Caenorhabditis elegans: one gene and its partner. The protein of the gene in region 1 purifies or fractionates together with the protein of each later gene. This does not show direct contact. Each region holds a gene or a part of one and is shown on either strand. Other genes may lie near its edges.

Evidence for each region. Proteins that work in one complex are often made in the same cells at the same time.
Region 2: the proteins of csq-1 (region 1) and F52C12.2 fractionate together in Caenorhabditis elegans (co-fractionation; one large-scale study listed by BioGRID). This does not show direct contact.

What each region holds. Positions count from the first base shown.
Region 1 is NC_003284.9:14,683,291-14,688,871, forward strand, and holds csq-1 (Calsequestrin), read left to right. Parts: upstream 1-1,586; 5' UTR 1,587-1,587; coding exon 1,588-1,722; intron 1,723-2,670; coding exon 2,671-2,790; intron 2,791-2,836; coding exon 2,837-2,921; intron 2,922-3,552; coding exon 3,553-3,656; intron 3,657-3,709; coding exon 3,710-3,821; intron 3,822-3,870; coding exon 3,871-3,944; intron 3,945-4,116; coding exon 4,117-4,296; intron 4,297-4,343; coding exon 4,344-4,583; intron 4,584-4,630; coding exon 4,631-4,757; intron 4,758-4,801; coding exon 4,802-4,878; 3' UTR 4,879-5,032; downstream 5,033-5,581.
Region 2 is NC_003282.8:1,951,715-1,957,248, forward strand, and holds F52C12.2 (18S rRNA aminocarboxypropyltransferase), read left to right. Parts: upstream 1-1,864; 5' UTR 1,865-1,881; coding exon 1,882-2,297; intron 2,298-3,534; coding exon 3,535-3,902; intron 3,903-4,798; coding exon 4,799-4,800; 3' UTR 4,801-4,995; downstream 4,996-5,534. Other genes in the region: tsen-54 (tRNA-splicing endonuclease subunit Sen54 N-terminal domain-containing protein), read left to right, coding at 673-761, 831-967, 1,022-1,156, 1,252-1,387; F52C12.6 (non-specific serine/threonine protein kinase), read left to right, coding at 5,011-5,174.

The sequences.
Region 1 (5,581 bases):
CAGATTCTCAACGATACCACATAAAACGTTTGCTTTACCAGATTCTTCCTTGCCACGTCAATTCACTAATTCCACAAACGAAATGCAAATCCCATAATACTACCCCGATCGCTGATTTACTGATCAATCCTTGAAAAATCAAGTTTTTGTGTGGTGTGTTGGCTTGAGTGATCGCAGACGCAAATAAATTCGGATAAATGTGCCCCCCTACCAAGCGGGTAGAGGGTGATATGTTTGCCGATTTATTGAGCAAGATGAGGAGTAGGGCGAATGGCAGTATTAGTTAGCGGTACCGATTGATTTCATTTCGCAAATTTCTACGTCGAAGATGAAAAATTATTTCGAGCAGTGACGTCAGTCGGTTGGTTATGATGAAGACTGCCGTTTGGTTTTTGAAAGCCGAATGCTATAGATATTCTTTGCCAGATGTGTGGGCAGATGAGGAACACTTTTTTTTTGCGAAAAGTTGATTTAAAAACAAATGTTTCGGTGCAAAAAAATGTTGGCACCGAAATATGAGCTGTTACTTGGAAATCATGTTACCTTTGTTCTGTTCTGTTAATTCCCTCTAATTTGAAGATATCCTTCAGTATAACAATTTTTCCGTGTTCGAATTATAATTGAAACATATTTTTAAAACAATTTTATTCCGAAATTTAGAGACACTTCGAAACTAAATATTTAATCCAGAACTCAGTTAATTAATTTACAGTAGCTGAACCCCGAAAAGTTGTAACTCAAACACTTATGTTTCTTTACTATTGTTACACTATTTTCGATCCTCAATAACATTTTAAAGTGGTAATTCCTAAGCCTAAATATGAGAATAAAGTGTTTTTGGTGGTAAACTTTTGATGGATTCTATGTAACGCCCTAAACGGATTTACTGTGGTTCGACGCGAGTCTCAGTGAATGTCGGCTGCGCGATTTTATTAAGTGTATTTAAATTTTCAAAGTAGACAGTGTGAGGAATGATATCATGTTTCATGTGTTTTTCTCCTATGCAAACATCTACTTGAATGCTTGTACGGTTATTTTCAAGTTGCCAGCTATGAAAAAAGTTGGAAAGTTGCATGTTCCCCTCACGTTATTGATTTATTAGAGATATGAACTCTTCCAATTGCCCCCACAAACACTGTTGCCTCACCTCCAATCTCGCCCACACTCCTTCAGCTTCTTCATCTTCTTTCACGTAGTTTTTGTTTTCATCTCGACAAATATATAGTGTAAAGTCAATCAGTCACCGGAGGAAAAGGCGCCTCAGGAGCTTCCTGCTGTGCTCGTTTCGCTACCTCGGTATCAAGCTTATTCTCAGCTCCCCCCTTTACAACGAAAGCTGGCGGGGCCCCGCGGATGGCAGTGGAATTGTGTAAGAATAGCGATCAAAGAGAAGAACATCAGTGCCAATGCAGCAGCCGCCAACAGCTAGCGCGGACCTTTTCCACACACTATACCCTTTGACTTTTCTATCCTTGTTTCGTGTCACTTTTTTGTCTTCTTTTTTTGAAAAGATCTCCATGCACATCCTTCCTTCCTTTTATCTCTCGCTTTTTTCTACAGCAAAAAATAAGTTGCGTTGTCTTTAGAATGACTTGGATCAAACTTGCTAGCCTTGCGCTAGTGGTTGTGCTTGCAAGTGCAGGCATCTCCAAAAACGAAGACTTGGAATGCATGTTCTTAGGATATCCAGATCTCGAATACGACGGATTCGACAGAACTGAGGTGAGTTATTTGGATATAGGATTTATAATGTCTATTTTGTCCATTCTGCAAATCTTTTCTGAAAATCTGCAAAACTACCGATTTTGTTTTTTTTTTTACAAATCAAAAATGAATGTACATAGAAATAAATGAGAATTTTGTCAATTTTGTCAATTTTAGTTGGCAAGAGTTGGCGAGAATTGCCAGTGAACTTTCAGGCTTTTTTTCTTTTTCCTTCTTAGGCTTTTTTTCCGTTCAAATTTGCCAATAAAAATATTATTTTAGAGTCAATCAACTTTTTAGAATCCAAAATTACCAAAATACCAAAACTGAACAAGTTTCTAGATTTTTCAACAATTTATCCACTAACTAGAAGGTATAGTTAATAGTTATTTGGTTAGAAGCGATTTTTTTAAAAAATTTTTTTGAAACATTATTCATTAGTATTATCGAAAAAATACGATCGCACACATTTCTCATAATTTACTTTTGATCTACCTGTTGTCTCCGCCCCCAATCTTGTCGCCGTTGTTATTTTGTTGTGGCTGTCTTGTCGAAGGAAGGGGAGGAGCCTCGTCAACAAGGTAGATCAAAAATAAATTATGAGAAAATTGTGCGATCGTATTTTTCGATAATATTTGAGTTTAAAATTATCAATAATTAAATAAAAACAACTTCTAAGCAGACTATAGATTCCTATAGTTAGTTCCTATAGTTCAAAACTAAAAAATTTTGAGAACAATTGTTCTCGACTATCTTGATCATCATTTTTCATTTAATTCTTTAACTTAAATTACTCAATAACAAGACATTAATTTAACTTCACAATGTCAGTAAACAATTGCGTCATTCTAGCAAAACTTGACCTATAACAAAATTTTCGACATCCGGGGTTTTCGAACCAACCTATCATATTACACTGCAACAGATATTCATCTTCACTCAACAAAAAAAAATCAATAATTGCAGGTTCTGACCGAGAAGAACTTCAACAGAACTGTTTTCGCTGAAGACACCAAATCGGTAGTGTTCTTCAACGACGTGGAAGAGGACGACTCAGAGCTTGACCAGTATGAGTGCTTCCTTCAGGTGAAATTCAAAATTTGATAGTTTATTTTTAATTTATGAATTTTAGTTGTCTGCTCAAATTATGACCAAGAGAGGATACAACTTTTACACTGTCAACACCACCAAAGAACATCGCTTGAGGAAGCAGGAAGGTAAACATTTGCTGTTCCACAAAAACTTAAAAAATATTCCATATTTTTGTGTCATGTTTTCAAAAAATTCAATATTTGTATTACATGGTTATAATTATTGAAACGTACGTATTGCTAAAAATTAATTGTTCTATGCCAAAAGTAAAAATAGAAATATGATGTTTTACCTCATATTTTTCCATTTCTTGAAAGTTGGTACATATCTTTTTTGGCAAGATTGTACATTTCTTTTTCGTAAGTTGGTGCATATCTCATTTATATGTACCCACATTGTAATGCTACGAAATTTTGAAATGTCCGTTTAAAGTCATGAATTGATTTTTTAAAGTGGGTCTCGTCACGATCTCATTCATAGTGGCTGCTACAGGTGTCAAATTTTACTTTTTTTGTTAATTTGATTTATAAAATATTTTTATAAAAGTTCAGAATTTGAAATTCACGGAAAATTTAACATTTAGCACGTAGTGTGACGTTTCCGAGAATGGACCATAATCGAATATTATTTTTACCAATTAATCATTTTATGTTGTCGAAGCTTCACAAAACTTGTGGAAACTTAATTTAAATAAAAAAACATTTAAGAATTGGTTAACCTTCTAATTCTTCATTAATTCTTGATTCAAAATTTCAGAAGTTGAAAAGGGAGAGGACACTATTCACGTGTACAAGGATGGTTACAAGATCGAGTACAATGGTGTTCGTGATCCAGAAACTTTTGTTTCATGGCTGATGGATGTACGTTATTTATTAAGTTTTTGCTAATTCCATAAATTATTTTTCAATTTAAGATCCCAGACGATCCAGTGACTATTATCAATGATGAACATGACTTGGAAGAGTTTGAAAATATGGATGACGAATGTGTCAGAATTATTGGATACTTTGAGCCAGGATCAGTTGGTACGGAATGTGAACAAGCTGTCATGCATAAATTTTAAAAGAATTTCAGCTCTCAAGGAGTTCGAGGAAGCCGCTGAAGACTTTATGGGAGAGATCGAATTCTTCGCAGTTGTGACATCTAAAGTAAGTGTTGAGAGCATTTTTTTTCAAAAATGTATTATGAAAAAGTATAATAGATGTTGATTTTTCATTTTTGAATTATTATATGTACCCCAATTTTCACGCTTAAATATCAAATATGGTACTTGAAAAAAAATAACTTAAAATCGATATTCTTTAATAAATGTATTTTTAGTGGGCACGCAAAGTCGGACTAAAGAGAGTCGGAGAGGTCCAAATGCGCAGACCATTTGAGGAAGATCCACTTTTCGCCCCAACTTCCGCTGATACCGAGGAAGAATTCGAAGACTGGGTTGAGAAGAACAAGGAGCCAGTTATGCAAAAACTCACCCTTGACAATTACTTCAACCTTTGGGTATGTAAAGTTTATATCCTTGCTAGAAAAAAATAATCGTGCTCCAGAGAGATCCCGAAGAGGAGGAGAGAATGATCTTGGCATTCGTTGACGAGGAAACCCGTGAGGGAAGAGCCATGAAGAGGCTCCTTGACAAGATCGCCGATGAGAACTCCGAGCACGCTGGAACCCTGGAAATCATTCTTGTCGACCCTGATGAGTTCCCACTTATGGTTGATGTGTGGGAGGATATGTTCGGAATCGATATTGAGGAAGGACCTCAAATCGGACTTATTGATATTTCTGAGGTAGCAGACTCTATTTTATTTGTCAATTAATAGAATGTATATTTCAGAAAGAAGGAATCTGGTTCGATATGTCTCAAGTGAATTTGGATGATCCAAAGAAACACTCCGACTCCAACTTCGAGGCTCTCCAATCATGGATCGATCAGATTCTTTCCGGATCTATTTCTCTTGATGGTGAATAACTTTTTCAACTAAAAATCTATAAAAAATAATTTCAGATGATGATGATGATGAGCCAGAGCCACCAGCACCACCACCAACTCCAAAGGGAAAGAAGTCTAGAAAGGAGCTGTAAAAAAATCACGTTTTTGATCTACCTATTCTTATTTTTCACGTATTGTTATCACACCTTAAACACTTCTTTTCATGACATTTTAATGGTTGCCGCTTGGTAGTTTCTTCTAGTTAGACACAATGTTTTCGTTCAAAATAAACTTTTTTGGAATTTCAATACGGCATTGTTTTATGCTACAAGTGACCCTAATATATAATAAAGAACAAATGAAATAATTAAATGTTTGTTGTAAAAAGCGTTCAACTCTGCAGTGATTTAGGATGTTTTGCCTCGGATGCCAAGGATCTATATATTTTTGGTTTTAGCATCGTATTTAGTAAAATTTTTTATTGTTTTGTAATATGCCCACACATATATATATATATGTATATATATGAATTTCCGGAAATTTTATCTTGTAGGTCACATGTCTAGTTGCTCATTGCAAAACGTTTTTTCCTGTCCAAGCTCATAATTTTCAAAACTCCATCGTCCAAAATTCTCCACTACTTTTTTCAATATTGTTCCACAAAAACCAGTCAGATGATTGACAGTCCTCATTTTCATTGAGTTTTTGTTCTGACCTTAGACATACATACATACACACATTGCACTCAGAAAATAGCAAAAATGCCCGTTTTAAATGCAATGAGAACCAGAAACAGTGAGGGTGAGTGTCAGCAAACTACGTTGCGAAGCAAAGGCAATACGATAATTACCATTG
Region 2 (5,534 bases), on another chromosome or scaffold:
AATACTACCCCGTAAATTTACAGTAATACCCCGTAAATTTACAGTAATCCCCCGTAAATCTACACAAAACTCCGTAAATCTACAGTAATCCCTCGTAAATCTACACAATGAGCCTCCGTAAATCTACATTAACCCCCGTAAAACTACAAAATGCTTCCGTAAATCTTCACAATCATCCCCCGTAAATCTACAATAAGCTCCCGTAAATCTACAGTAATACCCCGTAAATTTACAGTAATACCCCGTAAATTTACAGTAATCCCCCGTAAATCTACACAAAAATCCGTAAATCTACAGTAATCCCTCGTAAATCTACACAATGAGCCTCCGTAAATCTACATTAACCCCCGTAAAACTAAAAAATGCTTCCGTAAATCTTCACAATCATCCCCCGTAAATCTACAATAAGCTCCCGTAAATCTACAGTAATACCCCGTAAATTTACAGTAATACCCCGTAAATTTACAGTAATCCCCCGTAAATCTACACAAAACTCCGTAAATCTACAGTAATCCCTCGTAAATCTACACAATGAGCCTCCGTAAATCTACATTAACCCCCGTAAAACTACAAAATGCTTCCGTAAATCTTCACAATCATCCCCCGTAAATCTACAATAAGCTCCCGTAATTCTACAATAATCCCCCGTAAATCCACACAATTCTCTTACAGTACTCCACACATCGCCGGCGCTCGTCAACTTTCTTCCCTTGGAAATGCTCGAATCCATCCAAACTTCCACGATTTTACAGAATCTAAAAGTTAGTACGACACTCCGAAATCCCGCCGAAATTTTGGTGGCGCCAAATCAAAAAATTCAAAAATTTCAGCCGCCCACACCCAATCGACCGCCGTGCCGACCGCCGTCTTACTGGCCATTTGTAGATCACCATGTGACAAATTGGCAGGAATTCCGATTTCAGGCCGAGCAGGCCCGACAGGAGACGGTTTTGAGGAGGCTTAAAAAGTAGATTCTAGGAAATTTCTAAAAAAAATGCTCCAATTTTCCTGTAATTTTCAGATTACGCCCACCGTCGCACGCCGAGCTCCGCCGAGAGCGGATTACTGTAGAAAATGTGGATTTTCACGTGTTTTCGCCAGCCTCTTTCTCCCATCGGCTACCAGCTCGGCCGTTGTTCTCACTAATTTGTTATAGGTGAGCATTTTCGAATTTTTAACCAAAAAATTTGAAATTCCCGGCCTTTTTTTAACCCGGGAAAGGAGAAATTTTCAAATTTTCCGCTTTTTCAGCGCCACCGGACCACCGCTGAAAATTTCGGAGCTCGCCGAGCTCGAAAACGTGGTCTTCGCGATGGAAGAGGCCGGAAAAGTGAATTTCGTTGCGATGAGTGGAGCGTCGATTGATCTCAATAATTATTTGTGTTGATTTATCGATTTTTTCGCTATTTTTATCGTATTTGTTGCTCTATTTTTCCCCCGAAGTTGTTCAATTTTCAATATTCTTGTTCAAACTTCCGCCCAAAAAACTTGCCGGTTAAACTGGGCGCGGGTACGTTATTTCGTTATTTCGGAGTGTTGTTGTTTTGAATTTTATCGGAAATCGTTGTGAAATAGGGGTTTTTAGTGGTTTTAATGAATTTTTTTTTGAAAAATTGGTTTTTTAAACTAAATTTTGATTTAAATTTAGGTATTTCACCAGGAAATATCGATTCTCAAAAGAAAATCTCCGAAACTCGGTGGTCCGCTAAACAACACGCGCCATCGGGATTTCGGAGCTTCGTTGTTTCTATTTTATTTATATTCAGTTTTTACCATTTTTTTTCTTGATTTTTCTATATTTGAAGGTGTTTTTTTGTGTAAATAATCGAAAAGATGGTAACAATTAAAAATATGTTTCTTCCAGATTGTCGGAATTTTGCAATGGGAAAAGGAAAACATCGAGTTGTGAAGCCACGAAGAGCGGATAAACCGCCGAAAGAGCGAAATGTGGAGGAAGAAGTTGAGACAGAAGAGGAAGAAGAGGATATCGAAGATGAATCCACATCGGAGCCGGGCTCAGAAGACTCTGACGACGAGCCGGAAGAAGACTACAAATTCCCATTTCGTCTGGCGATGTACGATTTTAATCAGTGCGATCCGAAGCGATGCTCCGGGAGAAAGCTTCTTCGTGCGAATTTGATCACAGAAGTGAAGCTCGGGCAACGATTTCCCGGATTAGTGCTCAGTCCAACCGGAACGTACACATTGGCTCCGCGAGACCGTCCATTTGTCGAACAGAATGGGCTCTGCGTTGTGGATTGCTCATGGAAGGAAGTCGAGAGAACTCCGTTGCATAGGTGCGGGAAAACGCATTAAATCGAGGAAAATCTGGAAAATTTTAGAATTCTGGAAATCTGTTATAAAAAAAAATTTTCGACGAAACATTTTTAAAAAATCCATTTTCAAATATTTTCAGTGGAAAGTCGCTTCAAAATCAGCATTTTTGAGGATTTTTCTCAATTTCTCAGTGAAAAATTTCAAATTTTAAATAAAAACCTGAGAAATTCAGAATTTCTAAATTTAAATGTTAGAATCCCCCGTAAATCCACACAAAAACCGTGCGTAAATCCACATGATGTTCTCGTAAATTCACACAAGTCTCCTCCCGTAAATCTACATGAAATTTTATTGCTTGCTTTAAGCTCTGAAAAATCTCAATTTTTTTCAAAAATAAAAACCACAAAAAAAATTGCCTGAAAAATCTAAAATTTTAAAATTTTAATTCCTTGTGGCAAATGTGCTCTACTGATAATCTAGGTGTTAATAATGTTATTTTTACTAAAAATAACATGATTAACATCTATGACTATCAGTAGTTCACATTTAGTCACGCGTAGGGGGAACCTCTGCCCAAAATTTCATTACTCCACCTCAACAACTTAGGAAACTTAATAATGTATTATTAAAGCCATTATCTTCTCATACAAAAAGGATTTATTGTAAAATATTATCCTTTATTAAACATTCTCGATTTTATTTTCAAAAAACTGCAACAAAAAAAAATGGCTAAAAAGTTAGAAATTTCAAGTTTCGGGTCTCGCCACGAAATTGTCTGGGTTACTGTAGTTTTCATGGTGGGGCCCACGATTTTTTATCAAATATGATGAAAAATTGGTAATGGCTATACTCAAATAGAACATTTGAATAAAACTCAAAAATTTTGAAAAAAAAACTAAATTTAATAAAGTTATGGGGTGATTCAAGTAGTGTAGCAAAATGTATTTAAATACATGTTTTTATATACTTGAATACAGTTGTGACGTAATTTATCAACACTTTTTAATTTTCCGACATTACTTGAATAACCCCATAACTTTATTAAATTTTTCTGAAAAAAATCGAAAATTCGCAAAACATGAAATTTTCTGTGGCAAATGTGATCTATCGATAATCTAGATGTTAATTATGTTATTTTTTTTACCAAAAATACCATTATTAACACCTGCGACTATCAGTAGTTCACATTTAGTCACGCGTAGGGGGAACCTCTGCCCAAATTTTCATTTTCCCCTAAAAAACTTGCAATTTTTCCAGAGTAAAAGCCCCGGAGCACCGTCTTCTTCCATATTTGGTGGCAGCCAATTCAGTCAACTACGGAAAACCATGTCATCTAACATGTGCCGAGGCGATGGCCGCCGGTCTCTACATTTTAGGCTTCCAGGAGGCCGCAAGCCGCCTCATGAAGCCCTTCTCCTGGGGAGATCACTTTATTGAGCTCAACAAAGAGCTTTTAGATCTCTACGCGGCTTGTGATACACCGGAAGACGTGATTCGAGCACAAAATGAGTATTTGGAGAGAATCGATAAGGAACGGGAGCAACATTCCCGGGATATTGATCTACCGCCGAGTGGTAGTGATGAAGAATATGAGGATGAGGAAGAAGTGGAAGAATTGAAGAAATGTGAGGATTTTCGACTGGAAATTCTGAAAAAGCGAAGAAATTTGACATAAAACTGAAGAATATTGCAAAAATTTCAAATTTTTGATCATCGAAAATTTTAAATATTTGCAAATTTACTAAAAATCACTAGAGATTTTGGTTTTTTTTCACAATTTTACTGAAAACTGAAAAATTCTAATTTTCGTTCATAATTCGTACGAAATTATTTAATTTTTCGGAAAAAAAAATTGAAAATTAACTGAAAATCACAGTTTTCATAAAAATTCTTTGAAAACCTTTAAAAAAAAAATTTTTTTTTTTGAGAAAATCGATAAAAATTTGAATTTTTGAGAAGTTTTTCTATATTTCAATTTCAATTTTCCAAGAAAAAATATTAAAAAATTGAATTTTCTGAAAAAAAAATTTGAAAAAAATAATTAAATGTTTTCTTCAGTTTTCTGGGGAAAAAATATAAGAAATTTATTTTTCTAAAAAAACATTTTTTTATTTCTATAAAAATGCGTATTTTTCGGGGAAAAGACGATAAAATTTTAAATTTTCCAAAAAAAAAAGTTGAAAAAAAATTTGAAAATTCGAATTTTAGGAAAAATGACAAAAAAATTGGAATTTTCTGTGATAAACGAATAAAAATTAAAGTTTTAAGGAAAAATTTATTTTTAAAAATTTAACTTTTCTTTTTAGAAAAGTCACATATTAGACCGAAAAAATTGAATTTCTCGCTCAAAAAATCGAGAAAAACGCATTTTTATATCAAAATACCCTAAAATTTATAAAAAATTCCACAAAAAATAATATTCCCGCTCCAAAAATCGAGAAAAAAAAAATTTTTTTAGTGCAAAAAATCCCTAAAATTAATTTTTAAATAATAATTCCTTCAAAAAATTCAAAATTTTCAGAAAATCTCCCCATTCACTGCCGCCGAGCTTCATCAATTTCTGCACATTGTCATTTTTCGTTGGATTTTTTTTTGATAATTTTTTTCCTTAATTTTTCGTTTTTGTTATTGTTTGTTATTCATGTTTCTTACTTGATTTCCGGTTTTTTCTCTCATTTCCCCGCCAAAAAAAAATTGGAAAATTTAATAAAAATTTCAGGTAAAAAATTCAAAATGACAGCGGCGACGACAAGCTCCGACTCGGAAGGCGAAATGGATTTTGAGACGACAATTGAGACGGGATTCGGGTATCAAATCGATGGATTACTGTATCAGGGAGCCGAGGCGAAAGTTACAAAGTGTATTTGGTTGGGAAGGCAGGCTATTATCAAAGAAAGGTTCGAAAATTCGACGAAAATCGGCTAAAAATTAGCAAAATTCGGTTAAAATCTCACTTTTTCACACAAAAATTCAAATTTCCCTCTGTCCGTACGCTGCATGTGCGCTCCACTGAGAAAACTCAAAAATTCAAATGTCAAAAAAAAAGTTCGGAAAAAGTTGACAAAACACTCGAAAATATCTAGAAAAATATGAAAAATCGTGCATTTTCACTCGCAAATTCAAATTTCCTGTCTACCGCAAGATGCAAATGCGCTCCATTGAATCAATTGTGACTCTTACACTTTTAATTCAAATTTTCGTAAAAATTTGGCACAAATCCCACAAAAAAAAACTTGAAATTTGTGAAAAATAGGTTA